Caenorhabditis elegans: one gene and its partners. The protein of the gene in region 4 interacts with the protein of the main gene of each other region in a pairwise test. Each region holds a gene or a part of one and is shown on either strand. Other genes may lie near its edges.

Region 1 (9,433 bases), on a different chromosome or scaffold from region 4:
AGAGAGTGAAGGAAAACGAGACTTTAGATTCAACTCAAAAAATTCGTCATCAATAAGCAATGAAGTTGATTAAAAAGATAAATTGTGTTGGTGCAGAATTGTTGAGATTTTTCACATGGTTCAGTTGTCATTCAGGTTCCCTTATGGTGTTTTTGAGGCTGAAACATCTGGCAGCAATTTTTTTATAATAAAGTGAGATATGAAGTTTAGCATAAATAAATTTTCATTTGGAGCTAAAACTTTAATTTCAGTCAAATTTTTTTGTTGGTTATCGACGTGTACCACGACTTGGCTAACTAAAAAAAATATCGTACAATCATACCTGTAATGAATCATAATAAAAGACTCCAAAAATTTTTAGATTTTTCATAATTTCCGGTCAACGTTTTGGCAAATTACCAAAAATTAAAAAAAAAGAGCTTTTGAAGAAATCCAAAGCAATGTCGCATGTTTCGACCCCTACAATGTTTTTTGACAGTAAATAAAAAAATTTCAAAAAACTTTTGGAAAGTTTTATCATGATATTTGGTCATTTTGAGACCAAAGTAGTGGTTTTTAACAATTTCTCCACTGGCGCTACTCCACCTTTAATTAAAAAAAAACATTTTTACGAATTTCAGGCATATATACAACCGCATTTTTATTGGGAGATTTACTAAATTTTCGTTACTTTAAAAAGTTTTGAAAAAAAAACTTTTCTAGGATTTGGATTAACTTTTCATCAGAAGCTAAAAATGGACCTTTTCAATTGTTTTAGTCTATTGGATTTTTTAGTTATCTTATACACTTACTGAAATAAGTTGAAAATTAAAAAAAAATTTTAATCAGAAAAATTCAAAACTATTTTTAAATGATAAAAATAGTTTTAGTTAAATATTTAAATATTGCATTTTCAACATCCGTGAAAGCTAACCTACTCTTATTGGTATTTTTTATTTGCGTGTAATTTGACCAGAAACTTTAAAACGCCCTAAAGTCACATTAAATTCATATTCCGTTCATTTCGCCACCAGTCCGTTTGCCAGTGAAGAAATGTCCGTATGTATAGGCGCCGCGACAGGGGATGGGCAACTGGCCGCGTGGCGCAATGGATAACGCGTCTGCCTACGGAGCAGAAGATTGTAGGTTCGAATCCTGCCGTGGTCGAAACGTTTTTCTCCTGACTAGGAATAATATTTTAAGTCTTTGGTTCTCATGTTTTCAATAAATGTTACAATATTTTGAGTACGTTGGTTTACTGCAATCTGTTTTATACGACCTTTGGAACATTATGCTGAAAAAAGTAAATATCAACCGGTTCTTTTCTTGAAAAACGTTAGAGCCATTTGTTTTTGTGTAATGTCGTTCCGTTTGAGAAGCTTTGGGATTGTGGTGTAGAGCAGCGTGAATTGTTATCTACTACCCACAATCAGAAATGTTACACTGTTGACATCTTGCTGCCGTTTTTCACACGAATGTGGGCCAAAAACCAGTAAGCATTGTATACCATTTGTACCAATTGTCAGAAGAGCACAAGAATAAGAAGTCTTCTAGCGTGGCTATTGTAGGTTTAAGTATTGTCATGGTAAAAATTGTTTTCATCTCAATACAGTTATATTAAGATGCTCCCAATTTGCATAATTATGTCAAGAAGGACACTCTCATCCATATCAATTCTCGCAACGGAACAGTGCGGAACAACAAACAGGTCACTTTCGAGTGAAATGTTTCCCGTTTCATTATACATTATCTGTCGCATTCTCATCTTTCCGCGTTTGTACACAAATTGGAACCGTGAGAAGTGCATGTAGTGAAGCATATCTAAACATTTACATGCCCTCTTCACTTCGAGAACAATGATGTGGAAAACATATCTTCAGAACAGAAAAAACATCATTTCAGAAAGTTGTATTCAGATTTCTAAGTGTTTTTTTTTGGCTCGCCATCTCGGGACCGGTTGATTAGCTAAGAGTGTGACATCTCTACAACTCGGCCGTCTGTTTTTGGCCAGATGCTCGCCGGAGGCAGGCACGACTGAAATATTGTCTCATTTCTACTTTTGCAATACATCGTCGAACGTGTCAGTTTTCAGTATAAAGGTTGGTTTTTTTTAACGTTGGAAGTTGAAGAATTAACTTCAGTTTCTGAATAAAACATTTAGTTCAGGACATGCTTGAAGCGTGGCGTGTACTAAACTAACATTCTATATAAACTCATTCAAAATAAAATACGTTTTTATAGAAGAGATTATAGTACATTGCAAACATTCGAAAACTGTATTTGTAATTTTTCCATCAATAAAACTGTAAATTAGTTACACTGTGAAAACAGTCCCACTTTTGACAGCAACTTTTGGACGTTCACATGCTTGAAATTATTCATGGTGTGCTTCCTAGTTCCTCGAAACCAATGCCCACTAAAGAAATGTTTTCTTACCCACTCAAAATAAACTCTTCTCATCAATCCTATCTAAATTGGAAGACATTGGGGTCCCGCAAAAAGTGATGTCCTCTCTTGTCCTCTTCTTCCCGGGTTTCCTCCTTCTTCGCATTTCCTTTTCCTCCGTCCAATGCTTTCCCTTGGCATTGGTGGTAGTGGTGGTGGTTCAGAGAGGAAGAAGAGTGAAGGCCGGAATGCATTTATTGTGAATTGGGAGTAGAAGAGAGAAAGAGAGAGGGAGCGTTGCGCGCAGCTGGGCCATTTATTGATCGCTGCTGCCGGGGGCCCCTATGTCTCTTCTGACGAATGGCGGCGGCGACGAGTGTTGTATGTGTGGATGTGTCTGCGTCTCTCGCCCTGCTCCTCTCGTCCCCCTCTCGCCTCATGCAGTAGTGCCGGGGTAGGCGGCGGACAGCTCTACTTTAGACCTCTCTCCGCTATTCTATACCACCACTATTCGCAAGCACTGCGCGTCGTCTCCACTTTGCCATGGGTTCGTTTTGGTTTTTTGTAGTGTTAACGATTCGAAATGTGATAAACATAAATATGATTGGGCTTCAATGTTTGTTTCTAGATGTATTAGATTGAGATATTAGCTTCATGCTAATATACCGGAAGTAATTTCTGGGCAGCAAAATCGACCTGCACCATGTCCATACTTTGACTATATTGTTATTTCTTCCGTTCTGCTTGTTTGTCAAAATAAGAGGTTTCTGGAAAAATTTCATAATAGTTGATTTTCAGTTTGGTACCGATGACTCAGAAAGAGTTACAATGAGACAAAGAAACAAACTGCAACAAAAGAGAGGGCAATGTCGCCCTCTTTTTATTCCTTTTTTCGCTACCAAGTTCTAGCTATTTTGCAACAAATTTTTCAATGCTTCCCGCAACAAATAAATCAAAAAGGGAAATTGAAGATTGACAGTCTTCTTGATTGATTTGATGGTAGATCTTCATTGAGATATTTGAGAAAAAAATAAACAAGCGGAGAATGAAATTCAGCAGACCTGTATTATCAGTAAACCATTTGATTTTAGGCAAAAAATGCGACGTATGTCGCAAAAAGTGCTCAGGAGACGTCTTAAAAGCGAATGACAAATACTTTCACATCAACTGCTTTCAGTGCAAAAGTGAGTTCAATCAAAACAATTTTTCCATGATAAAGATTAGATATCCAAAGTTATGTTTTCAATTTCCATGAAGTGCCGACATTTCGAAATGTTTGCTTTTTCTTGTGGAAGAGACGGGAAAATGTTTCAGTGTGTTTATTACATAATACAGCACGAGACTCTCGTTGTTATCTCACTTCTGTTTGAACAGGGCATAGCATCCATTACTACTTACACGAAAAAGAACGTTCCAAGCTAAACATTGATAAAAATCTAAGAAACATTGTCACAAAACCTAATAACCAAAAAAGTTCAACCTTTGAAAAAATTAAGGAACCTACTGTTTATGCTGTTTAGTGTTTCTTAGGTTAGATTTACCAATCAAGAAACAAACAAAATTAAATTGCGATTTTCGCTTTCAATTCAATTACACACATATTTTTCTTGGCCACTTTTGTTTCGGGGGACACTGGTCTTCTTTTTATGACCCCATTTACAAAAGTGTGTTTTCTGAGAACCACCGCCTTTGCAGAGAATCTTGTAATCCTCGAAAGTTAGGCTTCTCCATTGTTCATCCATCATAGATTGTTAAGAAGGATTAGTTGAAATGTGCAACTCTATGACACAAGAATTTCTGCGTCACCATTTTTGGAAAATGGTGCCTGTTCGATGGAGTGTGAAAATGAAAATTTTGAAGCGAAACGTTTTTGACATTTGAAATCTAACCTGACTTTATTGGTTTTTGTTTCAAGTTCTGTTCGAATTCCACCTGCAAAATGGCAAACACACTATTATCGCACTGTTTACCTAAAATCGATTCGTCGTTGCGTAAATATTTACCGGGCGCTAAAAGACAAATTTTGTTTCATGGCACACTCAACTTGAACTCTATGAGGTGTAACAAAAATGAAGAATTATTTCGGGTGATTGAGAATATGAAGAAATAATTATTATGATTTGGAATAGTCGATCACACGTGAACAATTTTGAATGTATAAAATATACCGTTCTGGAATAAATGCTCGTTAAATAAAAGTTTCGACCACGGCAGGATTCGAACCTACAATCTTCTGCTCCGTAGGCAGACGCGTTATCCATTGCGCCACGCGGCCAGATGGCTCTAATGTGTCCACTTCGTAAGACAAGCAGATGTCAGGCGGTATTGTGAATTAATGAGTGTGAATTGAAAGGGGTGACGGTGACGTTACGGTTCGCCTCTGTGGCATTTTGAAAACTTTTTTTCGAGGTTTATTAAAATCTATTATTTTCAGAATGTGGTCGGAATCTAGGCGAGACGGGCTTCTACACAACACCAGAAAATGCGTATCTGTGTCCCGACGACTTTCGCGCCGTATCCAAAGAGATAACAGTGAAGACGACGACGCAACAAGCACACGCGTCTTCCTCAAGTGCGGCGACGCCCAAATCTCCGGAGAAATCAAATGGTACAACGGACGTGTCGTCGAGTGGAGCCGCTAATGCCACGCTGCAGCAAATCTCTCCGCTCGGATCACCAACAAGTAAGCAATGAGCTGTCGGAGTGGCAGTGAAATTTGAAACTTTCTTATGTATAACACTTAATATTGCAGCGTGTGCCGCCTGTGACCAAGCTTTACATTCGGGTCAAGTACTTCTCGCTCTCGGTCTTTCATGGCACGTGTACTGTTTCAAATGCAGCGAGTGCTCAGCAGTTCTCCATGGAGAGTACATGTCACATCACGGAAAACCATTGTGCCTTCGAGATTATAACGAGAAATTCGGTGTCAAATGTTACGAGTGTGAAAAGTTCATTGCTGGAAAAGTCTTACAGGTGGGTATTTGGTTGATAACAAAAAATAAAAGTAAAACCGAACAAAGTTGATTTGTGAACAAAACAATTTAGCACTACATTGTCTACGAAAAACCATAACAACATATATTTTCAGAAAAAAAGAAAGTATTTTAATCAATCTATTTATAAAAACCTTTTGGATCTTCCTGTTCCAAACTTTTGTTACTTTTGCAATCAAGGTTAAGTTGTACCCCTGCAAAACGTTGAGAAAAGTTTTTTTGTTAAAAAAAACACCAAGATCAAAACAAGTTGTCTATTCTTCTTTTGACCTTCCCAAAATATTCTATTCAGTCAATTTCTTTTATTTAGGCTGGCGGCTACAAATTCCATCCAACTTGTGCCCGCTGTTCACGATGTGGATCTCATTTTGGTGACGGTGAAGAGATGTATATGCAAGGAGACGAGATCTGGCATCCATCCTGTGAGCACGCGCGGACCACCGAAAATATCGCGGTATGCAATTTCATTTTTCATTTTGTTTTTCCAAAGTATCCGATTTCATCACATTGAAAGTCAAGATGATGATGATGCTTTCTCAAAGCATTCGAATAAATTCTTAATTACATTATACTTTAAAAAAAATCAATTTTTAGCCAACTGGACGTGCTGCCACATTGTCTCGAAATGAGCCAAAATATCAATCAACGTTTGGACAGCATCAAGCATACATGTACTTGTTGCCAGAGGTGGAACAAACCTACTTGAGACATCCAGTGATGAACGCCAAGGAGCCAAATGCTCCACAATACCACGTTCCACAAGGACCAATCAAGATTCGCAAGTCAAGGATGTCGATGCTCAAAACTGGAATGCAAAGACTTAGTGAGTCCACATACCCGTTTATTAGACAAAATATTTTATTTTCAGCGGAGGATTTGGAAAAGAACATCCCACGTCCAAAATCTCCACACATGGACAATGAGGAGCCAATTGAATTAGCTCACTATCCAGCTGCACATGTGCCCGATCCAGACACGGTATGTACTGCAAAACAAAAATACGTTAAAACTTGAAAGATATTTGAAACTAAACAATATAAACTTACCGTTTTTTAGTCATTCAAGAGCTAAGTAAATGTTTGTGAATTTCAATTATAATCACTAAATTGTAGACGCCAAATCAAAGTATTAAGCATCCTTTTTTCAGACTGTGCAGAATAAAAATTAAAAAAAAATGTTTAAACTTAAGAAGAAATGTTTAAATGTGGGAAAAATACATATTCCCGTTGAAACAAAACTCAATTTCAAAACTTTAATTACGCAGGAAATATATTTTCAGCTTCCTGCTATCGAGCGAGAGGATTTCCCTGCTCCACAATTCCCGTATGCCGTCGAAGAACTCAAAAGAAGACTCTCAACATCATCGGTTGAAAATGAGATTTCCGACGATGAATACTCGGAGAGCGACAAGGTTGACGAGGACAAGTTGAGAAAGACTGTTGAAACTTTGGAGAAGTATAATGATTCTTCCATTGCTCACGTCATCAGGCAAAACATCGAAGACAGTCATAAGAAGCAAAGGTATTATATTTTATTGCATATTTTATCATATAATTACTAATTACGTTGCAGGCTGCCACTTCATTGGGATCCAAGAAACGCAAGCAGAACCCCATCTGGCAAGAAAATGCCACATCTCAAATTCCGTTACGACGTCCCAATCAATGCTTGTATGTTTTTGTGCGCTTTCCTAATTGAATCAGTAGCTGGCTATAGAGCACAACACATACTCCTTTCGTGCGCCTTTTCTTCTTCTCAAGTGCAAACTCATTGCCCTTTTTCATTTTTTCAGCGCCATCTCGTCATCTCAATCGTCCGCGTCCATGGGTTGTTTGGCAAGGAGGCGAGAGAGACCAGGGAAACAATACACTGCCGTGCTTCCACATTCCAGAGGATAGCCGGGCGAATACACTCAGAGCCGCCACACTTCCGACGGAATTCGGACAAAACTTGTCGCTTGAGAACTTGGACACCACAATTAGCAGCCACTATTCTGAACGTATGTGAAAGTTTCATGGGAAAATTTGGAAAACAGAAGTTGGAAGTGAAGAAAATAGTTTTAAAACAGTAAAATGAAAAATGGACTCTCTTGCAAAACATTTTTGCAATATTTGAAAAAGGAACGATTTTTGATCTAAAAAACACTGTTTGTTGGTCACTCAAACATGAATTATTAAAATATTGAAATCAGATAACCTTGATAATGTATCGTAAAAATTCAAAATTCTTACTCTGTTATTAATTTTTCTCAAATTAAGAGAATAACGTTTAGACTTCTTTAAACAGTATTTCAAGAACTTTTAAACTGCCGTAGTTGTCACAATAATTGCTTTAATTTTTTCAGACTCGACGACGGAATCTGGAACAGCTGGAGGACCTCGCTCAGCTGGTGGAGCTGTGCTTCGCTCTTCTCTTCCTGACATGAGCAAACCTGCCAAGCAGTACGACCTGCTGTTTCTCCAAACGACAAATTCGGACCTCCCAGAAGATGTTGACAGGTGAGTAATGAAAAAATAAGTTAGCATTCAACTGACATTTCCTTTTTTGTAGACAACATTTGGAACGACACTTGCCGCGAGATCAATTTGAGGAGATCTTCAAGATGTCCTTAATTGAATTTTATAAGCTGCCCGAATGGAAGAGGATCAATTTGAAGCGAAAACACAAACTATTCTAACATCCTCGTTTTAGCTGTCGTCGTCTTTCCCTCACCCTCACCAAATCATCTTGTTGCCTGTGTCTTAAACAAAACGTTAGGTCGAATTTGTTTTCTTTTCTCCACGCGTAACTTTTTCAAATACTCTTTTTTTTGGTCCAATCTATTCTCATCCCAAAGTTGCTCCTGTTCTGCGCATAATTTCGGCAGTCAGTGCATTCGTGTTTTCGGAAAATTTGCATTCATTTCTTCCTACTTTCTCTTTATGTATTGATTCTGAGGCACTTTACTACTCTGTTATGTTTTCTGATTTTTATGCCAAAATATTGACCCAAACTTCTCAAAAATATCTTTCGGGATATAGCTTGTCAGCTTTTATTGCCGCTTTCAACTAGTGTTTTTCATTCAAAATTTGTAATTTCTTAATCAACTTTAAAAGTAACTTTAATTTGTCTTCTACGCGGAATCTCGGTTTTTTTCTCTTCTTACAGTTTTTCTCACAAAAGATTGCATTTTGCATGCGTGCTTTCTTCTATATGAATTGGTGTTCAACGTTTAATTGTCATTACATTTTTATATTATTCTAAATTCCCCTCACATTAATAAGCTTTTTTTAAATTGCTTAGATTATTCATAGCTTTTTTAAACAAAAAATGCTCATTTTTATTTTAAAATCAAAGTGTATACCGCCAGTAAAAAAGCTGTAATCAAAATGAATAAAACCTACAGTAGCTAGCTAACATGGGTTTATCATTTCTTTTTTATTTTACACATGTTGCCTCTTCTAGGCAAATGCTTGTTTCCCATTTGTCTCAATTTACCTATTATATCCCCGTTATTTGTCTCCAAGTCATCCCATCTTCAATTTTCAATTGTAAAAGAAAAAAAACTGATCAGAATAGGTTATTCCCCATTATTTTAATTGTTTTTTGTTCCTACTTCACTTCTCTCCTATATGTTTTCATATTCAAAATTTTGTCTCCACCAAATGGGAAAACATTCTATTCTTATTGTTTTGTTCTTGAATAAACTGCATATGCTTCGCGTAAACAGAACTCAAGAAATAAGTGTTTTGTGTTTGAAAACTTGAAGACGACACACAGAAAAAAAAGCTCTAAATGCAAAAAAGTTGAGAACATCTGTTGAGAATGAATAAAATAAACAATTGAGAAAATTTCAAATGATGATCGAATGAAAGCTCCATTTTTCTTTTCTTTCATTTTGCTCCACCAATCACTCGATAACATTTGTGCTCTTTGGATAAAAATGTTGCAATTCCACTTGCAATTCGTCCTGTTTAACAAATCAGTTGTCATGTTTTGCCAACGAAAACACTTGAAACGTTTGTTTCCAAAAACCGCACTGCCATGTAATATTTTAATTTTTTAATGTTAGATGTTTCTTAACTTTGAACACACAA
Region 2 (6,268 bases), on a different chromosome or scaffold from region 4:
CAGTGTCGAAAAGCGACACCACGAAGTGTCAAGAAATGACTTTCTAATTTTTTGAATCACGTGTGAGATTCATTTTTCGACTACAGAAATAAATGAAAATTTTTGTTTATTGACGACACTTGGCCAGCCCTACCCTGCCTATCAGATGAAGTTCGCGCTCTCCCTCTCTACCTTGCCGTGGAAAACAAATTGCAATATCTGATGGGGACTGTAGGAGAAGCAATACTACTTTATGTTACCTGCTTGGCACTCTTTTTTCAAATCTACCGTGCTCTTAAAAAATATGGCAAAGTCCGTTCGAAACAAACCTTGGAACTACAAAAAAAGCTGATGAAGGCGATGTTTTTGCAATTGGCAATTCCCTTTTCCATTATCTCCATTCCAATGGCCTATTTCTCATATACACCATTTTTCAATGCGGCATTGAATAATACTATGTATATTATAGTTGCAACACATGGTTTCATATCAACAATTGTTATGCTCATTGTACAGAAACCTTACCGAGAATTTATCCTGGGAGGTTTCGGGAAGTTTTTTAAACTGAGACAGTCTAGCGAAAATGTTTCGGGGATCAGTTTACACTCGATGAATACAATTGTAGCACCAAACCGAATGTTTTGAATAAATACTACTTTAAACATTGTTTTTGCATTGATTCAAAGCACCGTTTTCTAACGTCGTAACATTTAAGCAGGTGATATTCAGTTTGTAGTTATTACTAATACATTTATTTTGTTTTCAAAGGATAGCCACAATTAAATTTAAAAAAAGATAAATCTCTTTGAAAATGGTATTTTGGTTAAATACTGTTCACTTGAGGGCTTGAAATATAATATAAATCGTTGGAGAGACAGGAGAAACGTCAACAGGGAGAAAACCTGTGTTATTATGTAGAGCACATATATTACAATAGGAAGTGTTAAATAGGAGATGTTAAAGTAGTTAGGAGAATTTCTTTTAAAAAAAGTTATTGTTCTGGATCAAGAATTTTTTATCTCACATATTAAGACAACTAAAGCACAAGAAAAACAGGAACGCTAGGTATAGGAAATAGACGTTTCTGGACATTTGATAAAGATGATTAACAGCTGGAAACAGTATCATCTGAATGAGAAAGTTATGTTTAATGCAATGCACGTGTTGAATACCGCTTTATCGAGTTTTCGATTCATTTTGAACACGTACACATAAACTGGGAATAATGCCGAAAAAACAATCACCGAAGCAATAAAAAATATCTTGAAAGAATAATATATTGTTTCAGTAATTTTTACAATAGTGTCGTTCATTGGTACTTCTTTTAAAGCAATGTACTGCCAAATTTATATTATAGATTAGGAATTAGTGTGAAATAAAGTTACTGACAGGTGAATGTTATTTACGGCAAGAGCGAAAATTTTGTTTCTGTAACATTCTTGACCAATGACAAGTAAAGGTGGAGTACCGAAATGGGTACTTGTGTTTCGCACTACGTTGCTCACTCGCCAAGCTACACACGCCGAGCTGCGGAACTCGGAAGGTATCGGCCGCTTCCAAATAACTACCTTTCGCACTTCGTTGCGCACACACACCGGCGAAGGGCGACGGCGCCTCCGCCGCGCCGCTCTCACATGGAAGCCCTATTCCCTTTTTTTGAAATGTATCCATTTTAATAAAACGTGATGTCCATTACCCCTCTTTAGGCTTAGAAATGGTTATTTCCTGAGCCTAAAGATACAAAAACTCCACACGTTAAAAAAAAAATTTAAATGAGGAAAATTTAAAAATGGCACAATACTACAAATTTTCGTAATTAGATTGCTAAAAAAAACAGTTATGATCACTCAAAAATTTTGGAAAAATCGGCTATATTTTGCTGAAATCTCAAATTTTCACAACTAGGGCTGTTATTTAGGACGTCCTAGGTCGTCCTTGTCATTTTTTGATGGCTTATTTTGGCGTCCGTTTAACAGGAAAATTCAGCCTCAAACTCGAATCCAGATAATATTAACCCAAATAATCTATTTTCGTTATCAAAATTAATGTGTTAAGTCCGAGGACTTTGGTATAAAAATTGGGAGGACGATGAGGACGTCCTGTTTAACAGCCCTATTGACAACTTTTCAGTGTCGCAGCGGTTGGAACTCAATTGTCATCCTAATTTCTGCACTATGACGAAAAGTCAAAGGCGTGGTGTACAGACAACTCAGTGCGAAATGTGGTTTTAGCTGCGGCCGACGCTTTTCGGGTTCCGCTCGGGGGTCACCGCAAAGCGCGCGTGGCAGACGTTATCCCGCCTGCATGGAATCCCTACCTTCCTCATAGGATTCATCAGTAGTTCTCGATCGTTCTTCGGCCCGGCCCAATTCACCTATAAAACTAAATGAAACGCGCATTCAAGGTCATTCCTTATATTTTCCCTATACTCTTATTTCGTTATTTTTGTCTTCCTTATACTTACCACGTGTCTGTTACTCATCTATTCTGTAATTACTTAATTCCTCTGATCAACATGACAAGATGAAATAATCTCACTAGATCCAGTTTTGCTTCTTATTTTTTAAAGTTTTCCGAGGGAAAACGTTAGTTAGATTTCCCCCTCCTATCAGGTTTTCTCCAATGTTTTTCAATATCATGATTAAAATTTGTCCTGTTCTTGAACCAATTTTCAGTTTTTTTGCTCGCGGAGCTCCAGATGCAAGCAATCAAATGTGTCGTCGTTGGTGACGGAGCCGTCGGTAAGACGTGTCTCCTGCTATCGTACACTACAAACGCTTTTCCCGGAGAATATATTCTAACGGTGAGCCACTTTTTGTCGGGGCACTTGAGAAAAATTCGGGTTGGCACTTGAAAATTTTTTTTTCAAAAAATCTTATTTTTTAGCGCAAAAATTTGAAAAAAAATTTGAAAAAAAATCTATCTATACTTTTTTATTTAAAAAACCATGAAAAGTTGAATTCGTTTTTCAAAAAAAGGCAACTTCTGTCCGTAAACGTAAAAATGAAAACATTTTTTGAATGAACCCTCTGAAAGTGGAAAATTTTGACCGAAAACACGATTAAAGTGCTAATTTACATGATGAAAATATGAAAAGTTCTTACCTTTTTTTGCCTGATTTTAACCAGATAAAATTGGAGAACGGTCTGAAATTGGGCTTTTTCCTTATAATCTCGAATTAAGCCCAATATTTATGCAGGTATTCGACACCTACTCAACAAATGTGATGGTCGACGGAAGGCCAATAAATCTCAGCCTATGGGACACAGCTGGACAGGACGATTACGATCAGTACGTGCGGAAAAATCTGAAAAATGCGTCAAAAAATGAGCCAAATTTCATTTTCTCAAAATAGTTGATAGTAAATTTTTTCAAAGTTTTCGCCTATTTTAGAGCAATTTTCTATTTTAGAGCGAAACATTCTGAAACTTCTAAAATTTTTAACCGACCTATTGTCTGCTAAAAGTACAATTTTGTTATTGTGAAAATTGCTAAAAATATTTCCTCCACAACTTTTTTTTCTACTTTTTACAATTTTTCTAGCAATTTTCAAGCGGATTCTATTTTATAATGACAAAAAGAATGTCTATCAAAAAGTAACATTTCATATCAAATTTCGTAGGGAATGAAAAAAATCTTAAACTATATCTAATCTATCTAATGAATGTTTATTGTATTTACATGTGAATGTAAATTTACAGCCCACTTAAATTTCCCCATTTTTCTTCAGATTCCGCCACCTGTCATTTCCACAAACAGACGTATTCCTCGTATGCTTTGCACTGAATAATCCAGCAAGTTTTGAGAATGTTCGTGCAAAATGGTATCCAGAAGTATCACATCATTGCCCAAATACACCGATTATTTTGGTTGGAACTAAAGCTGATTTACGCGAGGATCGAGATACTATTGAACGGTAATTTTTTGGGATTCATTTTAGCATCGAAACAACTTTTTTATCATGTTTGAGAGAGATATGGCAAGAAATTGGGTGTGAAACTTTTGCATATCTCCCCATGTTTTTACCTTTTCGGCCAAAAAAGACAGCAACTCCAATGTAATACCCCCAAAAACTCTTGAAAAATAAAATTTTTGCAGGCTCCGTGAACGTCGGCTCCAACCAGTGAGCCACACCCAGGGTTACGTGATGGCAAAGGAAATCAAGGCGGTCAAGTACCTGGAATGCTCGGCGCTTACCCAAATTGGATTGAAACAAGTTTTCGATGAGGCAATTCGTACTGGGCTCACCCCGCCACAAACACCACAAACGAGAGCCAAAAAGAGCAATTGCACGGTGCTTTAAAATGCGAGGAAATTGGAGAACTCAAATTACAGAAACTACAACAATTTCAACTACCATACTAATTTTCAATACATAAAAGCTTCTGAAGCTTTTCGTCGTTGGAATTTCATATTTTCAGGTCGGAAAAAAAATTGAAGGAGAGGATAATCCCTTGCCTTGAGGACTGATCATCACAAAGTTATTACCACATGATTAGTACCCACCTATAACAGACCAAAAAACGAACCACGTGTGTGTTCAAAGCTAAAATCGGAGTTTCACCATGTTTTTGGCGAGAACTCGTAATTTGAGCTTTGATTGTGAATTCTTTTAGGGCTTCCATGTGGGCGCCGGTCAGGCGCCTCCACCGGCCTCATGTCGCCACTAACGCCGCAAGTATCCGTATGTATAGTGCGGCGCGAAACCTCGAACGTGTCGGCCGCTTCCATATAACTACCACTTCGTTGCGCACATACATCGACGAGGGGCGAAGGCGACGGCGGGCCGGCGTGAGGCCGGCAAAGGCGCCTCCGCCATGCGGCTCTCACATGGAAGCCATAGTTTAATTTGATGGTCATCCTAATTTCTGCACTATGACGAAAAGTCAAAGGCGTGGTGTACAGACAACTCAGTGCGAAATGTGGTTTTAGCTGCGGCCGACGCTTTTCGGGTTCCGCTCGGGGGTCACCGCAAAGCGCGCGTGGCAGACGTTATCCCGCCTGCATGGAATCCCTACCTCCCTCATAGGATTCATCAGTAGTTCTCGATCGTTCTTCGGCCCGGCCCAATTCACCTATAAAACTAAATGAAACGCGCATTCAAGGTCATTCCTTATATTTTCCTTATACTCCTGTTTCGTTATACTTTTCTTCCTTATACTTACCACGTGTCTGTTGTTTGTCCCCATTTACTCTTCTATTCTGTAATTGCTTCATCCCTTTAATAAACACGACAAGATGAAATATTCTTACTATATCCAGTTTTGCTTCTCATTTTTTAGTTTTTCGAGGGAACAAGTTATGGGGTTATTCAAGTAGTGTCGGAAAATTAAAAGGTGTAGGAATATTACGTCACTTTGTGTATTAAAATACATAAAAAACATGTACATAAAGTGACCTAATATTCCTACACTTTTTTAATTTTCCGACACTACTTGAATAACCCCATTAGGTTTCCCCCCGAAGGTTATCTCCTATATTTTTCAATATCATGATTAAAATTTTTCCTGTTCTTGAACCAATTTTCAGTTTTTTTGCTCGCGGAGCTCCAGATGCAAGCAATCAAATGTGTCGTCGTTGGTGACGGAGCCGTCGGTAAGACGTGTCTCCTGCTATCGTACACTACAAACGCTTTTCCCGGAGAATATATTCTAACGGTGAGCCACTTTTTGTTGGGCAATTTGAGAAAAATGGCGTGCAAAAATCAGAAAAAAATCGTCATTTTTATTTAAGAAAACATAAAAAGTTGAACTTGTTTCTCAAAAAAAGCAACATTTGTCCATAAACGTAGAAATGGGTAAAAATTTAGAATAAAAAGTGGGTAATTTTTACCGAAAATACTTTGCCTGATTTTGAGCAGAGAAAATTAAAAGCGGTCTGAAATTTGACTATAAATTCAAATAATGTTCAATATTTCTGCAGGTGTTCGACACCTACTCAACAAATGTGATGGTCGACGGACGGCCAATAAATCTCAGCCTATGGGACACAGCTGGACAGGAAGATTACGATCAGTACGAGCGGAAAAATCTGAAAAATTTCTCGAAAAATGAGCCAGATTTCATAAATATTTTCTCAAATTATTTGATAACATTTTTTCAAAGTTATCGCCTATTTCAGAGCAATTTTCAATAAAAATTGGAATTGGCCTAGGCTTAATTTGTACCTTTTTTGATAAAAACTTATGATTATTAAATTTTCTGGAAAACAGGTGAAAATGGTAAAATATTTCAAATTTTACTCGAATAGTTGAACACTAATTTTCAATTCATTCTAGTGAAATCTACTC
Region 3 (7,115 bases), 3.3 Mb from region 4:
TATACTTCATTCTAAAATGAAGGGGGTACATTATAGTTGATGACAAGTGTTCAAACACCATGCTTTCATTAAAATTAATAATTTCATTGTGCGTCATAATTCATATGACACCTTCAACACTCTTTCCAAGTAGAGCCACATTATTACGAGCTAATTTCAACTCCTAATTTTACGTACCAAGAAAACATTTCACGATATACTGACAGATGTTTTTTCACAATATGGTAATGTCTTTGAAGTTTAAGATTTTGCATATTTTGAAAGAGCGTCTGAAAATGTTGTGATTTGTTTTGTGAGATTTTTTCCGTTTTTTAAATGACGATTTATCCGACCTAAACTTTGAATGATCAATGTTTATCGACTAAATTTCAAATTCTATTGTGTTGTAATGACAATTGCGAGGTCTGAGTGAGACTGATCTATTAAATAATTACAACGATTCAAGATCATTTTGTTTGTCAATTTTTTAATTCAAAAATCTGCTAGCAGTTGAATTCTTAATAATAATCTAATTAATGTTTTACGGTTTCATTTAGGGATTTTGGTTTTTTTTCTCAAAATTTCTTACAAAAGAAAAACGTTCCATTTTACTTGCAGAATACAAAACGTTGCGTGCCATTTCATTTAGAATTCTAATTAGAAGTATTATATCACTCAATCAAAATGTTGGGAAAAATTTAAATATTTGTAAAAAATGTGACATTTTTCAAAACCCACTAATGTGATTTTTTTTCAACATTTAAATTTTTCAAAAACTACCACAACATTTATCTACACATGAGCATACTAAAAACACCAAAAGTGTGCTAAAACAGTACCTGGAGTAATTCTATAGGCCATGAAAAAAAGAAAATTGCACTGTTTTTCCAAGTTCTATCTCAAAGATTCATGTTTTCTCTATGCAGCGAACAAACGTTTTCCTCAGAAAAATACTTGATAACTGACAATTAGTAATGCCTTCATTTTATTCTTAATAACAGTCCTCAGTTTTCAGGTTATACTTAATTCTTGAAAAATCAGCATAATGTGCAACAAGTTATGCTAAAGATTAAAAAAAATTTGCATCACCCACGAAAGACCTCAAAGACCATTCCTTTCCGAATCTCCTCACACCTTGTACCACATTGAGATAGTAAAGAGATTGGTGGAGAAGCAGAGTGCGCGTGCATGTGAGCGTGCGCTTTTCACGTTCCAACACAATCTGCGTCTCCGTGCTCTCATCTACCATTATGTCTGTGTCTCTAACTGTCTTACCAATTTTTCATTTGCGCACGTAGACAGTTTTGGTGTCTCTCTCTATCTCTCGATTTCCTCCTATATGCGTGTATGTGTGTGAAAGAGAGAATGAGAAGAAAAAGAGAGAGAAAATGAAGAGGAAAGATCTCCCGCTTCGTCATTTTCCGCGCATTGCATTTTTTGTTATGCTCTTCCAATTAACTGGGTAAAGCATCACGGACTTTTCAATTATTATATCAAAGTTCTTTTTTTTAACTATCAAACAATTATTCGATCTTCTTATGACTACTGTACCTGATTACACTTAAATTTCCTAAAACTTTTCCGAAGATCTACTCTTTTATCTATTCAAATATAAAAGAGTGATCTTTGGAATAGGCAAGAAACATGTCGCAAAAGAGTGCACCCATCTGTCTCACATTCCTCTCTCAAAACTCTTGTTCCTTCCATATCTTCTTCTCATTTCTCTTCGTTTCAATTTCTGCCCTCTTTCGTAAGGTGTGGGAATGTAAAAAAGTGCGTGACGTAATATGTTCCATCTCTTTTTCTCTGGATTGATGCAACCTTGTTTTGACACCAAACACCCTGCACAACATTTTAGAACATAAAAATTTTAAAATTGATGAATAAAAAGTTATTACCATGTGATGAAGTTCAGTCAAACTTGTTTAGCATCTCATTGGTGTTCACTTGATTGGTCATAAGATTTCTCTTTGTTTTTTCTTTGCTGAAATGTACATATTAATTCAAGTTTTGAAGAAAAAATACAGATATTCCTTATTTCAAAGCTTTGTCTCGTTATTCCCAAAAAATGTGTTTCTATGTTCATGCCATCTGGTGTATAGAGTACAATGTATCGTAAATTTGTTCAGTTTAATAACTTTTAAGAAAATCGTTCTTGATTTACCGTATCAATGATGAAGGTCGAAGTGATTTCCACCGAGAAATCCTAAAATTATTTTTAAAAATTGCAAAGAAATAGTCTGTAACTTCCGTTTTGAAACCGTTTCTTTTGTGTTACTTGAATTAGTTTAATTTTTTATATTTCTGAACTTTTCTTTCGAACGTTCTCATTTCATTTTTTTTTCAAAGGCCGATTAAGAGTGCACTTTAATTATAAGTGTTTCCGGAAACTATTGAAGAGTAGTCCATACTACACATTCCTTTTATATCAAACAATTTTTAACCTGAATAACACGTCTTTTAAACGTTGAAATCAAATTTCATTTGAAGGTTAACGGCATCAATTGACAGATAACTTTTTGAATCAATGAAACCATATTTTGTTATTACTATTTAGACAATATACCAGGATAATCCCTTGTGATTTCTGTTTTACTTCTAATCTATATTGTTTTCTTGATCAAATTTGTTCGATTTTCTTTGTCATCGTGTCTCTTTGATCCGTCCAATCACAACCACCACACATTTCTTTCACCGTTCATCTAGTACTGAGAACAGTTTTTTTCGTTTTCAATTTTTTTTTCTTAACTTCTTCGTGTGATAAACGGCAAAATGTCGTCGTGCAAATCATCAACGCTAAGATGGACATTTTTTTTAATGATAAGAGAAATGCAAAGAGAGAGAGAAAAAAGCACGAGAGAGAGAGAGAGATGAGCACACAAGACACGCAAACAATCAGTTTCGGTGCCACGTCGTTCATTTTATCACGTTCACATATTTTTCGGTTATTTTCTGATCACTGCCAGATACTGAATGTGACAGAAAAAAGTTGCAGCACATGACATGAGCAGTGCCCCAAATGATGACTGTGAGATCGACAAGGGAACACCTTCTACCGCTTCACTTTTTACAACGCTGGTATGTTAAACTACTTTAGTTAGAAAATTTAAACTCTTATTACCAACCTTTGAAAATTGAACACCTAAAATGAATTACCTAAGTGATTTTTAAACAGTTATTACTCTGTTTTCTGAAATTCACTATTCAAAAAATCTGTAAAAAGGATACTGTACTTCTGTATGTGGTGAACACTGCATCAATGGGACTAGTTTATTAAGTCTAGCAATTTTGAAGTTTTGTTTGTAGTATGGAACCCCTATTCGCATTAGAGTTAAAAATCACTGAAATCGTACATTTTTCAAAAAAGCATAACTTTTCAGAATTACATATTTGGGTCACATTAATAATGAATAATTATTCAGATGCTCAGTCAACCATCTTCTTCTACAGCTGTTTTACAGTGTACATATTGTGGAAGCTCGTGCACATCTTCCCAATTGCAAACATGTTTATTCTGTGGAACAGTGGCTTATTGTTCCAAGGAGCACCAGGTTGGTACCGTAGGGTGTATTCGTTGATCAACAAAATAATGGGGGTCCTGCTGATTAGATAAACAAGTGTTCTCACGTAATCCGTCCCTTCTCACGATGCATCTACCCTAAATCTGTTTTTGACTCTAATTCCTCCCTTCTTTTCGAATTTTTGAACTGGCTATTTATGGGAATCAAATCTAGTTCCTGTTTAAAATTATACTTTGTTTCTGACAACTACTTCCAATTATAGTTGTCTTATTTTTGTTGAATTTTTCGGAAAATAACCTGAACCTGCATATCGCGCAAGAACGTGTCGATTCGAACATTTCGGCTGGCTGCCCTCCTCCCGAGAAAGAGCTTTTTGAAGCATATGTGCGCAGACAAGAAAGACAGAAACATTTGTAGACCAATGTCTGTGTTTACTGCAAAAACATCAAAATGAAATAGGGGAAATAGATGATGACAATAGGAAGAAATTTTAATTTCGAGAAAAAAGCTGTGGCAGCGATTTTAGATTTTATCGACGGAATTTGGACGGAGGATTGTAGATAACCCAGAAAAAGTTGTGACGTTCTCAAGAACAATAGTCTAGTTATTAAAAGTATTGAAAAAGTTCTGAAACTTGTTTCGTTAAAAAATATAATTTTCAATAAGAACCACTAATAATATAATCATAGTGACCCTCTACATTTAAACTTCCTAAATTATTCAGCATAAAAGTTGGGAAATATCAAACTTTAACAAAAGACGGAAACAATTCTTAGAGGTATATGTTGTGGCCATAGTATACTATTAGACGAGAATATGTTGCTTCAAAATATTTTACTTCCTTATTTGAGTGCAACAAAAATCACAATATGATTCATTCGTATTTCTAAAACTTTTCCTCTTTTGTGTTCCCATTGTCAACTTTTTGATCTTATTACTTTTCTAGACACGTCCATCAACAACATGCAAATAAAAAATTTGTTTAGTTTCCCACGTCGTTTCATAAATATTCTGATTTATGCTCAACAACTTATTTTTCTTACTAAACATCACACCTTTCTCTCATTAGACATAACCCAAATCAAGCCACGCCCGTGCACTTTTCACAAATTGAAACATCACAAGTGTCACGTAGACAATTTTTTTAAAGCGACTTATGGATTTCAATTTTTAGACGCTTGCAATTTTTTAATTTATTTGCCATAGATGAGATCAAAATTTTGAATACAATTTGCTAAAAACACATGCAAAAACAAAATGAGGAAGTAGAGGGTATTATTCTTGTTCAGTATTTCAAATAGTTCTACAACTTTTAGTTTTTCCAATACGAAACTCAGAATCAATATCTAATTTCCAGCAACTCGATTGGCTAACACATAAAATGATATGCAAGTCACTTCAAACAAGTGGCATGGTGCCAAGTAATTTGATGCCTCAGGCAGCACCTGCTGTTATGGCTCCAATTCCACCTACTGTTTCGTTTGATGATCCTGCACTTACCACGTCACTTCTTCTATCTCTTCAAAATAATCCAATTCTGAATCAAACTATTTCAAATTTTCCGCCAACATTTTCGATCACATCGAAGACCGAACCAGAGCCATCGATTCCAATCCAAATTCCACAAAGGATATCATCAACAAGTACAGTACCGTTCAGTAGTGAAGGAAGTGCATTCAAACCATACAGAAATACGCATGTGTTTAATTCAATTTCTTCTGAATCAATGTCTTCCATGTGCACATCACATGAAGCATCACTTGAACACATGTCATCAGCTTCCCTTGCAATGTTCCCAACAAGTAGTACTGCTCAAAGTGATATCAGTAGACTCGGTAAGCTACCAATTTAACAGTTTTTTGATATAAAAGATCTTTAAGCTCAAGTTTTGAGTCTTGCTGGAGATTCACCAGCTTCGTTGGCTCTTGTCACAACTTCGGTACCGTCAACTGCTTCCACAGCAACTATTCCACCTCCAGCGACAACGACAAGTTCAGCTACAAGTTCAGGCAAAAGCGAGACAATAACTGTTGGAAAAGAAAAGATAATTCAAACTGATGATCCGGATATTCAGGTTAGTAAACGTAATCATCTAAAGTCTCATCGAAAGGCCAAAACCTTTTTATTTCCGTATTTCCATGTTAGTTTCATTGGTGAAAATACCAACTATTTGATGTGAATATGTGTATCTAGGCTCATGCCAACGTGCGGATTCTGCGAGCCCTCCCGAATTTTACGTGATTTGTGAGAAGCGTGTGTGTGTGTGGAGCGGACGGCAATGCTGCACAAAATGGCAGTTAAACCAAGCGGTTAGAAACAGAGCCACACAGCAACAAAATAAATTGGCTGGTCGGTTTTGTGCTCTCTGAGTAATTATAAAATGGAAGTGAACTCGATTTGTTTGATGTTGATAGGAACGAGTAGACAGGGATGGATCACGCGTTCAAAGGGTTCGGAGATGATAGTAGTAGACAGTGAGTCAGGTGACAGAAAAATTCACTTTTGATGAAGACTGGAAGTTTTATAGTGAGCATACTTGATATTTTTGTTATCTCTTCAGAAAATCTGATGAGCACTATTGAGTTAAGAAAATATCATGCTTTTTCATTCCGTTCAGAAGTCCTTCCGTTTAGAATGGAAACACAAAAAATGTAGTGGAACATATGAATTCATTTTCAAATGTCTATTTTCATCTGTTGATCCCAGCACGATTCATTATTAACTTATAAAAAATTTCTACCGTCTTCTGTCATTAACTTCTGCTCATCATGCCTCTCAACCCATTACTTTTATTTTTCGGCTCATTGTTCAGTTATCCACCGGACGAGGAAGCAAAAAAGCAGCTCATTCATTATTTTCTTCGAGTCGCAATGCTTCTTCTTTCCTGTTATACCAACAAATGTGTCAAAGTTCACGTAGCTCTTCTTTCACTTATTCTCTGAATATCTTTTTGATCTATCTCACCCTCATGAGAATCTTCCTCCACTTTCCCATCCAAATGGAAAAGAATGAACGGCATCGTCTCGGAAAAGGATGTCGTTCTCCTCTCGATAAGAAAATATGAGGAGAATGTCACGTAGACCTGAAAAAAGCGTGAAACCGGAAATTCACATCAAAACAAGCATGGAAATGCAGCGACTGAAATAAACAGAAAAAGAGAGAATGTATTGGAATGAAAATTAGAATTTCTGGAATTGAAAAAGAAACATACGGTAGTTTTCACTCTTTTCCTCTTTCTCTTTTCTAAAAGACGACGTGCAGATCAGCAGTGTGCATTTATTGTTATCAGCACTATTCCATTCGTTGTCTCTAAGCGTCCACCTCCCGTTGTCTGTGCAAAACTTTCCCATTTTCGATTCTCGATTTCGGCACGTTTTGTGAAATTCACCCGCTTCTCTCCATCACGCACGCATACTCTTGCACCGCTCGTTTCTCTTAGCATTTCAGTAAATTCATCTCCTTTTCCTGGCTTCTTTATTTGTAATGTATTCAGTTTTAGTTTGAGTCTTTCAGTCATTAACTTTGTGCCGGCTTTAACTATTTTTCCAACTGAAAAACCAGATAACTGAAAACGAAAAGTGCAAATATCGAAGAGAAAAACAAACAATATACATA
Region 4 (7,276 bases):
CATTTCAAAGGGAATTTCGAATTAAGATTTTTGAAATTTGAAACTTGAAGGAGAGAATACAGATGATGGTATCTCTCCAAAGGAAGCTCTATTGATAAGCATACTTTTTTTAAACTCATAATTTGAAGTTTTTACATTTTTTCAGACGAGTTTCCAACAGAACATAAATTGAGCCGTTTTCTGAAAAAAAAGTTCCATAGAGAAAAGTTGCCATTATAGTGAAACCATATGAGAAAAGCCTTCTCTATTCAAAAGTTGCATTTGGCTTAGAAGTGACATCCTTTTTATTCAAAAAGCGCATTCACTCGGTTTTTAATACATCTTTGCATATGTAGTACTGTCGAAACGCTAAATATAGTTTTTAAAAACTTTGTTTTTTTTATATTTGCCATGTTCATGGGAAACCCTTTCAGCTCAAATATATCCAAAAATACAACATAGAATCTAAAATCAGCTACTCCGACTTTTCCTGAATTAAAGTATTCCTAGAAAGTTGAACTGCAAAATTTTTCATTAACAGTTGACTTTCATCACAAGAAAAAAGTGTCGCGGTACTTGTAAAGTTGCCGAGTGCAAACGTTTTGTTCCCAAGCAAAATGTACCACCCAGAAAACAAACAGAAAAGATCCCTTCTTATCGTTTCACATTTTAATAATATCCTCAATTATGGTATTTTGTTGATCCTAGTCTTTTGTTTGGAACAAATTTCATTTATTGATAGCTGTTTGAAAATTAGGCTAACACACATTGTGTTATCGCCCTCTGACTGAAATCATGAAAACGAGCACGGCTAGACTATCTGGTTAAATTTTTTGAAATAACCGATCAATCTCGTTTTTTAATATTTAATATTTCTAAAAAAAGAATGGCTTGCTGTGATCCGCAGGAATACCACAAATTCCTGAAGAACGGATCGTCTAAGTATCTGAGTATCTAAGTAAGTTTTTTTTCAAATTAATATTTTTTAGTACTGAAATTTACCAAACTATTTTTAGTTAATCAAACACTCAAAAACTTTTTTGCAACTTGCCTAATTTTTTTAGCTGAAATTTTGAAAAATTCTAACGGAAATTTTTTTCGGTGAAGCTTTTCAAAAAAGTTCTTGAGTTGCGCCAGTTTAATGCTGCCCATGATACAATTGAATTATCAAAATGAACATAATGAAAGAGACAAGTTTTAAAACTAACAACATAAGAACCTTGTTTTGTTAGTAACGAGTTGCTTTTAAAACTGTTATTAAAAATTACTGAAATTCTAATAAAACCGTTGATTCGTAGGTGCTCCTGAACAAATATTCAAAATGTGCAGGATTTTCTAAACAATTTCAGGCTCAGTCAGATCAGATTTCTTTTTGAATGGCTTGTTCCAGTCTTTACAGTTAATACTTCTAAATTATCAAGGTAGATTGTAGGGCAGTTTTACATAACTCTCACGGAGCTTCAGTGTTTTTAAAGTCAACTGGAACGTATTCTACGATCATCCAGATCCGGAAAACTTGCATCATAATGCACCGTTTCTGGCGTCATGTGCTCCTTGTAATTTCATTTTTTCTCTTCCACCTGCAACCGAGTATTCGGGGTCAACGTATCCGCTAGCCGCATTGCATGTCCGTCTAGCCGACCTCTGCGTCTCCATTTCTGCAAAACGAGATGGACAGACGGCACGTAACGCAGAGAATCTTTTCGTTTCTTCTTTTTTCATTTTGCTTCGCTCACTCACTCTCTCACTCACTCACACACGCACTCACGCAATGGTCTCTAACTCTCTGTGTAACTCTCCTATTTCTACCTACTACCTCGTCCAGTGCAGCTAGTCGGTGGCCCCCTTCGGTGAATAGACGAACACTGCACAGTTTACACTATTTGCATACTATCGATTGGTTACAATCTGCAACGCACTGTTTCTGTCTCTTTACATTCCTCCTAATTCCCTAATTCCATTGTTGCTCATTAGTGAACTAATGCGGGTATTCCCAGTTGACCACTAACTATTTTTTGCAAACTTTTCAATGTGATCTTTTGGATAATTTTCTTCTGTTCTTGTTCGAACTTTCATTGTTTTTTTCCAAATTGGAAATAGATTCGGAAAATGTTCGAAATTTGGAAAAGTTTGCAAAATAATTCCATTTTTATAATGTTAAATTGGAAAAAAAATTGTCCGAACAAAAATTTTCTCAGAACTAACTTCCAGTTTTTCTTCTTTTTTTTTATGCAAAAGTTGAATTTTGGTCCTCTTGACAACTTCGAAAATTACAATTTTTGTCCAAAACTTGCTACATTTTTTCAGCTCATTTTCCAATCAGCGTTACCTCCAAAAAAGTTCAAATCAAGTCAGTTTTGAATATCCAATGTTTGTCAAAAATTCAGAATGCAATAAACAAAACTATAGTATGTGATCAATTTTACTCCTCTAAAATTGTTTCTTTCTATTTTTTCGCTTAAATTAAATTTTCGATCTCTATGATTAGGCTGTCCAAATTTAAATTAAAAGTGTCGGCATTAATCTGGAATAGACTGAAATCCCAATATAGGAATTGCCCATATCTCGGTGTTTTGGACTCAATTTTCTTATACTTAATTGAATCTGTTTGTCGTTTACTTTTATGTTTTTGGTAGTGTGCTTTAAAAAACATGGCAATCGTTCAAGCTTTACAACTACCTGATTAGCATTTCTTTTCTGATTTATAATGTCATATCACATCAAAATGACCTAGAAACAACTTGATCTACCCCCCCCCCCCCCTGCCTTGTTGAAATAATCGAATCCCTTTTCAACTTCACCTGTCTCATTTGAGCTGCTCTCCTGCTCTCTACTGCCTTCTTTTCATCTTCAACATTCCACCACCACCTCCATTCCATTCGTTTTCGATTTAGTGTAACAAAGTGCGTTCTTCCCTCTCTTTCTCTCTTTTTCCCTCATTTTCTTCCTGTGTCCTTCTACTTTTCAATTTTATTTTTCTCGTTCTCGTGTTCCCTGCGTCTATTGATTTACCGTATTCTCTGTGATCGTCTTTTCCCTGGAACCTTTCTGTTTTGTCGAATTCGATTTGAAAACTACTACTCTCACTTTTTTTTCGCTCTTTCCCTCGTTCGCTTACTAGTTTCCAATTATTCTAATAATCCCCTCACGCAGTGTTTTATCTTGCAGAAACTTGTGAACCCTTATCACCTGCAATGGCTACCAATGGTCACGCAGTGAACGGAGAAGCTCATGTTATGCAACAAGTCGCACAACAACCAGCTCCACCAGGACCATTAGCTCCGCAAGGGATCGGAAGACAGAACGAAATTGTGATCGGAGGACGTGATCGACGTTGTGAGATCTATAAATTCACGTCTGATCAACAGTTGTATGCATCGGCATGGAGCAACAAAAATGATATCAAATTTCGACTTGCTGTGGGAACAGTATCCGACGTGTCCGTTAACCCATGTGCCGCAAACAAGGTGAGTTTTTGAAAAATTTGAAAACGTGTGAGTGGTAATGTTGGCCATAGTCAATAAGGTCCCATTTACTGAAATACCACAAAAAACGCAATTCTAAAAAACGGGTTTTTGCAAATTCTAATCTACTGTTTAAGTTGTCTACAAAATAAGAACTGCAAGATTAAACAGCGATCGTTCTTATTTTTGAGTTGAGTTATATTTTTGAGTCGAGTTTTACTATAGTTCAAAGACACAATTTAGAAAAACTGGAAATCGGAACAAATCGAAATTGAACTGTTCAGGTTTTAAACATAATTTTTGTCTTTCCTTTTGCGGTATTTCAGTATGTATATTAAAACATTTCGAATATTTTGAATTGAAAACCCTATAGACTGTACTCCAATGTAAAAGTTAAAAAAAAAAAAAACGAAATTTATATGTATTTTGAAACATAACAGTTCCAATTAAAACGTTTTCAGGTATCAATTGTACAACTAAAAGACGAAACTGGCGAGCTTGTCGAGACGGCGAGCTTTCCAATGGAGTTCCCAGCCAATGCAGTCGGTTTTATTCCGGATCCAGACAACGTTTACCCTGATCTCATTGCCACAACATCAGATTGCCTTCGCCTCTGGCGAGTAGTTGATGGAAAAGTTCATCCAGACGCAGTTATGATCAATAATACTGTACGTTAAACCTGTAAATTTTTAGTGTTCAATGGAATTTTCAGAACTCACAATATGGATCAGCTTTGACAAGTTTCGACTGGAACGAGCTGGAGCCGAGGTATATTGGAGTTTCCAGTGTAGATACGACTTGCACAATTTATGATGTTGAGGTGAGTTATAATTTTGATAAGATTTAGTGAAATGTTTACAAATATTCAGGTTGGTTGCGCAATTGGGCAGACCAAGCCGACAGCTCCATTCACACTCAAAACACAACTGATTGCTCATGACAAGCCTGTTCACGATATCGAATTTGCTAAAATCAATGGCGGTCGTGATCATTTTGCAACTGTTGGTGAGTCTTGTCTAGCTAGTATTTGCATCTTTTTATAAACATTACGAGTTTCCAGGAGCTGACGGAAGTGCCCGAATGTTTGATCTTCGACATTTAAACCACTCGACAATTGTCTATGAAGATCCAAACAAGGAGAAGCTTCAAAGACTGTCATGGAACAAACAAGAACCTTATTTCATGGCTTTATTTGCCGAGAACAGTCAAGAAGTTCAAATTCTTGACATTCGTATGCCATGCAACATTCTCTGTCGACTCCGTAATCACACTGGACCAGTGAACGGAATTGCATGGGCCCCACACAGTCCACATCACATTTGTACTGCTGGAGACGATTCACAAGCTCTGATTTGGGATCTGCAGCAGGTTCCAAGACCCGTTGATGATCCGATTCTGGCTTATTCGGCTGGTGGAGAGGTGAGCATTTGAATTTGAACTTAAAATCTTATCCGATCAAGATCAAAAAGTAGTGAGATTAAAAAATATATATACCTGAAAATTAAAACGAATGCTGAAAGAGAACTTTCAAAAGTTGACACTAACGATTACAAAAAAAAAACATTTACACGCAGTTATTTGAATTTAATTATAAAAATCTCATTCATTCATTGAACATTTTACCTGAAAATTGAATAAAAAGGTAAAAAAGGTGCGTCCCTTTTTGTTAATTTTTTGCATCAAATTTTCTTATATTTCTTAGAATTTTACATAATTTTCTACAATGTCACTAGTGGGACTCAGAGGTGCAGTCTTAAAAATTGCAAGTAATGAGCCACTTTGAAAACTGGAATATTTGAGATCTGAGAGTTTAAAAACTGTTTTTCGAAGCGGATTGTTTTTATTCTACCATGTTTACATTACATTTGCTGAAACAGTTAACAATTACATCCAAGTTTTTTCTTCTATGCCGAACTTAGCTTGGCTCCGTTTTCGGGGTGAATTTTTTTCCACCTGCTTTTCCGGAATCATAAACATCGAAGTTTCATACTACGTTCAGCTGTTGCACGTAGTTTCTTAGAAAACATAAACTATGAATTGTCACCTAAATTTTGTTGGAGATTTCCAGTTTCAAAACTTTCATTACTATACAATTTCCAGGTCAATCAAATTCATTGGGGTCCTGTACACAGTAACTGGATTGCAATTTGCTTCAACAAAACTCTTGAGATTCTTCGAGTTTGAGCAGAGGATGTGCGTTCTGTTTGAGAACTAACAAAAATTTCTCACATTTCTCAATTAACGTTATTTTCCATTTCCTGTTATGTTTTTATGTTTTTAAATTATAATTTTTTGTCAATTGCTCTGATTTCAAGTCACTTTCTCCGCCTTTGTTGTGAACAACTTATTTGAATTAATTCCAAAGCATCAGTATGATGATTCACGATCTCTTTCAAACCTCAATTTTCTCACGCCAACACACAATTGTTTTATCCACCCGAAAATTATTGTTTTATATCCTATTTTTTTCCATTTTCCATTGTGATAAGGTTACAGGAAACCCGAAAATTTTTTAAGGTGGTTTCAAAAAAAATTTCAGAAATTGTATTTTTTTAAAATATTTATTTTTAACTGAAATACTCCGGTAAATTCCTCCGGCTTTTATACTTTTCAAAATGGATTTTCACTTTGGTATTTCTTTAATTTCTGGTTTTTCACAGGAAAATTCTTCCGACACAGCAGCCGAACGTGAAGCCGCAGCGGTCGTCTCAGCTGCAGACCGCCGAAGACTTTCGGTTTGTACCGAGAGCTCCGCCCGCGCCAGCGGCACCCACATCGTCATCCGCGACGACGACACAGTCTGCTAATGTGAGTTTTCATTTTAGCGAAAGTATTGATGAAAAATTATGTACATCAAAATTGACGTCATTTTTCATCTGTGCCTACGTTGCGAAATGTGATGAACCTTTATATTGACCACCCGACCGTTTCCGCGTGACTGACTGAAAACATGTGTTTGCCATATGAACCTAATTTCTTGACAGCAATGTTGCTTATTGTTTCAGAATTAATCGACTAGTTTTTTCAAACTTTTTGATAGAAAATTGTTTCTTATGAACAGTTCAAGTTTTAGTTTCAATAATACATATAATATCTCTTGAAATACCTACTTTCTCTACAATTTTTTGTTCAAAATTTCATTTAAGAACCATTAAAACTTTGCCTGAAATAATCAAGAGATATCCCAATTAAAAAAAAATTTCTCATTTAGTCTCGAATGATTGATCAATCCCAAGCAGCACCATCATCATCTACGTCATCGTCTCATTTGATGCACCATCATTCGAACAACTATCCATCATACACAAATCCTTCTGCTTCAAGTTCCAATCACAGTAACATGGGTCATCCAAACGCGTCAACAGGTCAAACATCTGCAGTACAAAGAATGGATCCGTTCAATCAAATCCCATCAGAACTTTATGGATCAGCATCGTCAACGTCAATAGCTGCATCAACACGACAACCATCATCACAATCACAACCATCACAACAGTTCAGACAAATGCCAGCCGATTTAGGAGCTTCAACGTCTACGATGCATTCTGTTGCACCGATAGATATTTATGATGTAAGTGAAAGTTTATTAAATTTAAATTCAAAATTTTGATGAAAATTTTCACTAATTTAAGAATTATGGAAACGCCAGTACATCAGATCTACGAAGAAGCAGTGTACGGGGTGATCCTCGAAGGAAGGAGATCTACGCCTACAATGCTCCATTCACATTATTCTCCCATGGCTGGAGCGCAGCTACAGATCCTTCAAGGAAGTTTCGGCTGGCGGTTTCAAGTTTTATCGAAGAGTACTCGAACAAAATTCATATAGTGCAG

What was found.
Region 1: the proteins of swan-1 (region 4) and unc-115 interact in a two-hybrid assay, tested with the Caenorhabditis elegans proteins (one study listed by BioGRID).
Region 2: the proteins of swan-1 (region 4) and rac-2 interact in a two-hybrid assay, tested with the Caenorhabditis elegans proteins (one study listed by BioGRID).
Region 3: the proteins of swan-1 (region 4) and egl-9 interact in a two-hybrid assay, tested with the Caenorhabditis elegans proteins (one study listed by BioGRID).

What each region holds. Positions count from the first base shown.
Region 1 is NC_003284.9:10,144,083-10,153,515, forward strand, and holds unc-115 (Actin-binding lim zn-finger protein limatin involved in axon guidance), read left to right. Parts: upstream 1-3,409; coding exon 3,410-3,548; intron 3,549-4,566; exon of another isoform or gene 4,567-4,639; intron 4,640-4,798; coding exon 4,799-5,047; intron 5,048-5,116; coding exon 5,117-5,337; intron 5,338-5,667; coding exon 5,668-5,811; intron 5,812-5,951; coding exon 5,952-6,180; intron 6,181-6,225; coding exon 6,226-6,335; intron 6,336-6,397; exon of another isoform or gene 6,398-6,498; intron 6,499-6,636; coding exon 6,637-6,878; intron 6,879-6,929; coding exon 6,930-7,027; intron 7,028-7,149; coding exon 7,150-7,356; intron 7,357-7,701; coding exon 7,702-7,855; intron 7,856-7,907; coding exon 7,908-8,034; downstream 8,035-9,433.
Region 2 is NC_003282.8:16,305,548-16,311,815, forward strand, and holds rac-2 (Ras-related protein rac-2), read left to right. Parts: upstream 1-2,677; coding exon 2,678-2,782; intron 2,783-3,178; coding exon 3,179-3,270; intron 3,271-3,709; coding exon 3,710-3,895; intron 3,896-4,077; coding exon 4,078-4,282; downstream 4,283-6,268. UniProt on the Caenorhabditis elegans protein: During gonad morphogenesis, plays a role in distal tip cell (DTC)-mediated guidance of gonad elongation.
Region 3 is NC_003283.11:10,465,543-10,472,657, forward strand, and holds the start of egl-9 (Hypoxia-inducible factor prolyl hydroxylase), read left to right. Parts: upstream 1-2,974; 5' UTR 2,975-2,982; coding exon 2,983-3,057; intron 3,058-3,401; coding exon 3,402-3,530; intron 3,531-4,857; coding exon 4,858-5,335; intron 5,336-5,380; coding exon 5,381-5,574; intron 5,575-5,690; exon of another isoform or gene 5,691-5,752; intron 5,753-7,115. UniProt on the Caenorhabditis elegans protein: Cellular oxygen sensor which regulates the stability and the activity of hypoxia-inducible transcription factor, hif-1. In normoxic conditions, hydroxylates hif-1 targeting it for vhl-1-mediated proteasomal degradation.
Region 4 is NC_003283.11:13,803,109-13,810,384, reverse strand, and holds swan-1 (WD_REPEATS_REGION domain-containing protein), read left to right. Parts: upstream 1-3,147; 5' UTR 3,148-3,173; coding exon 3,174-3,446; intron 3,447-3,904; coding exon 3,905-4,111; intron 4,112-4,155; coding exon 4,156-4,263; intron 4,264-4,312; coding exon 4,313-4,448; intron 4,449-4,503; coding exon 4,504-4,862; intron 4,863-5,543; coding exon 5,544-5,627; 3' UTR 5,628-5,990; downstream 5,991-7,276. Other genes in the region: swan-2 (WD_REPEATS_REGION domain-containing protein), read left to right, coding at 6,661-7,014, 7,076-7,276.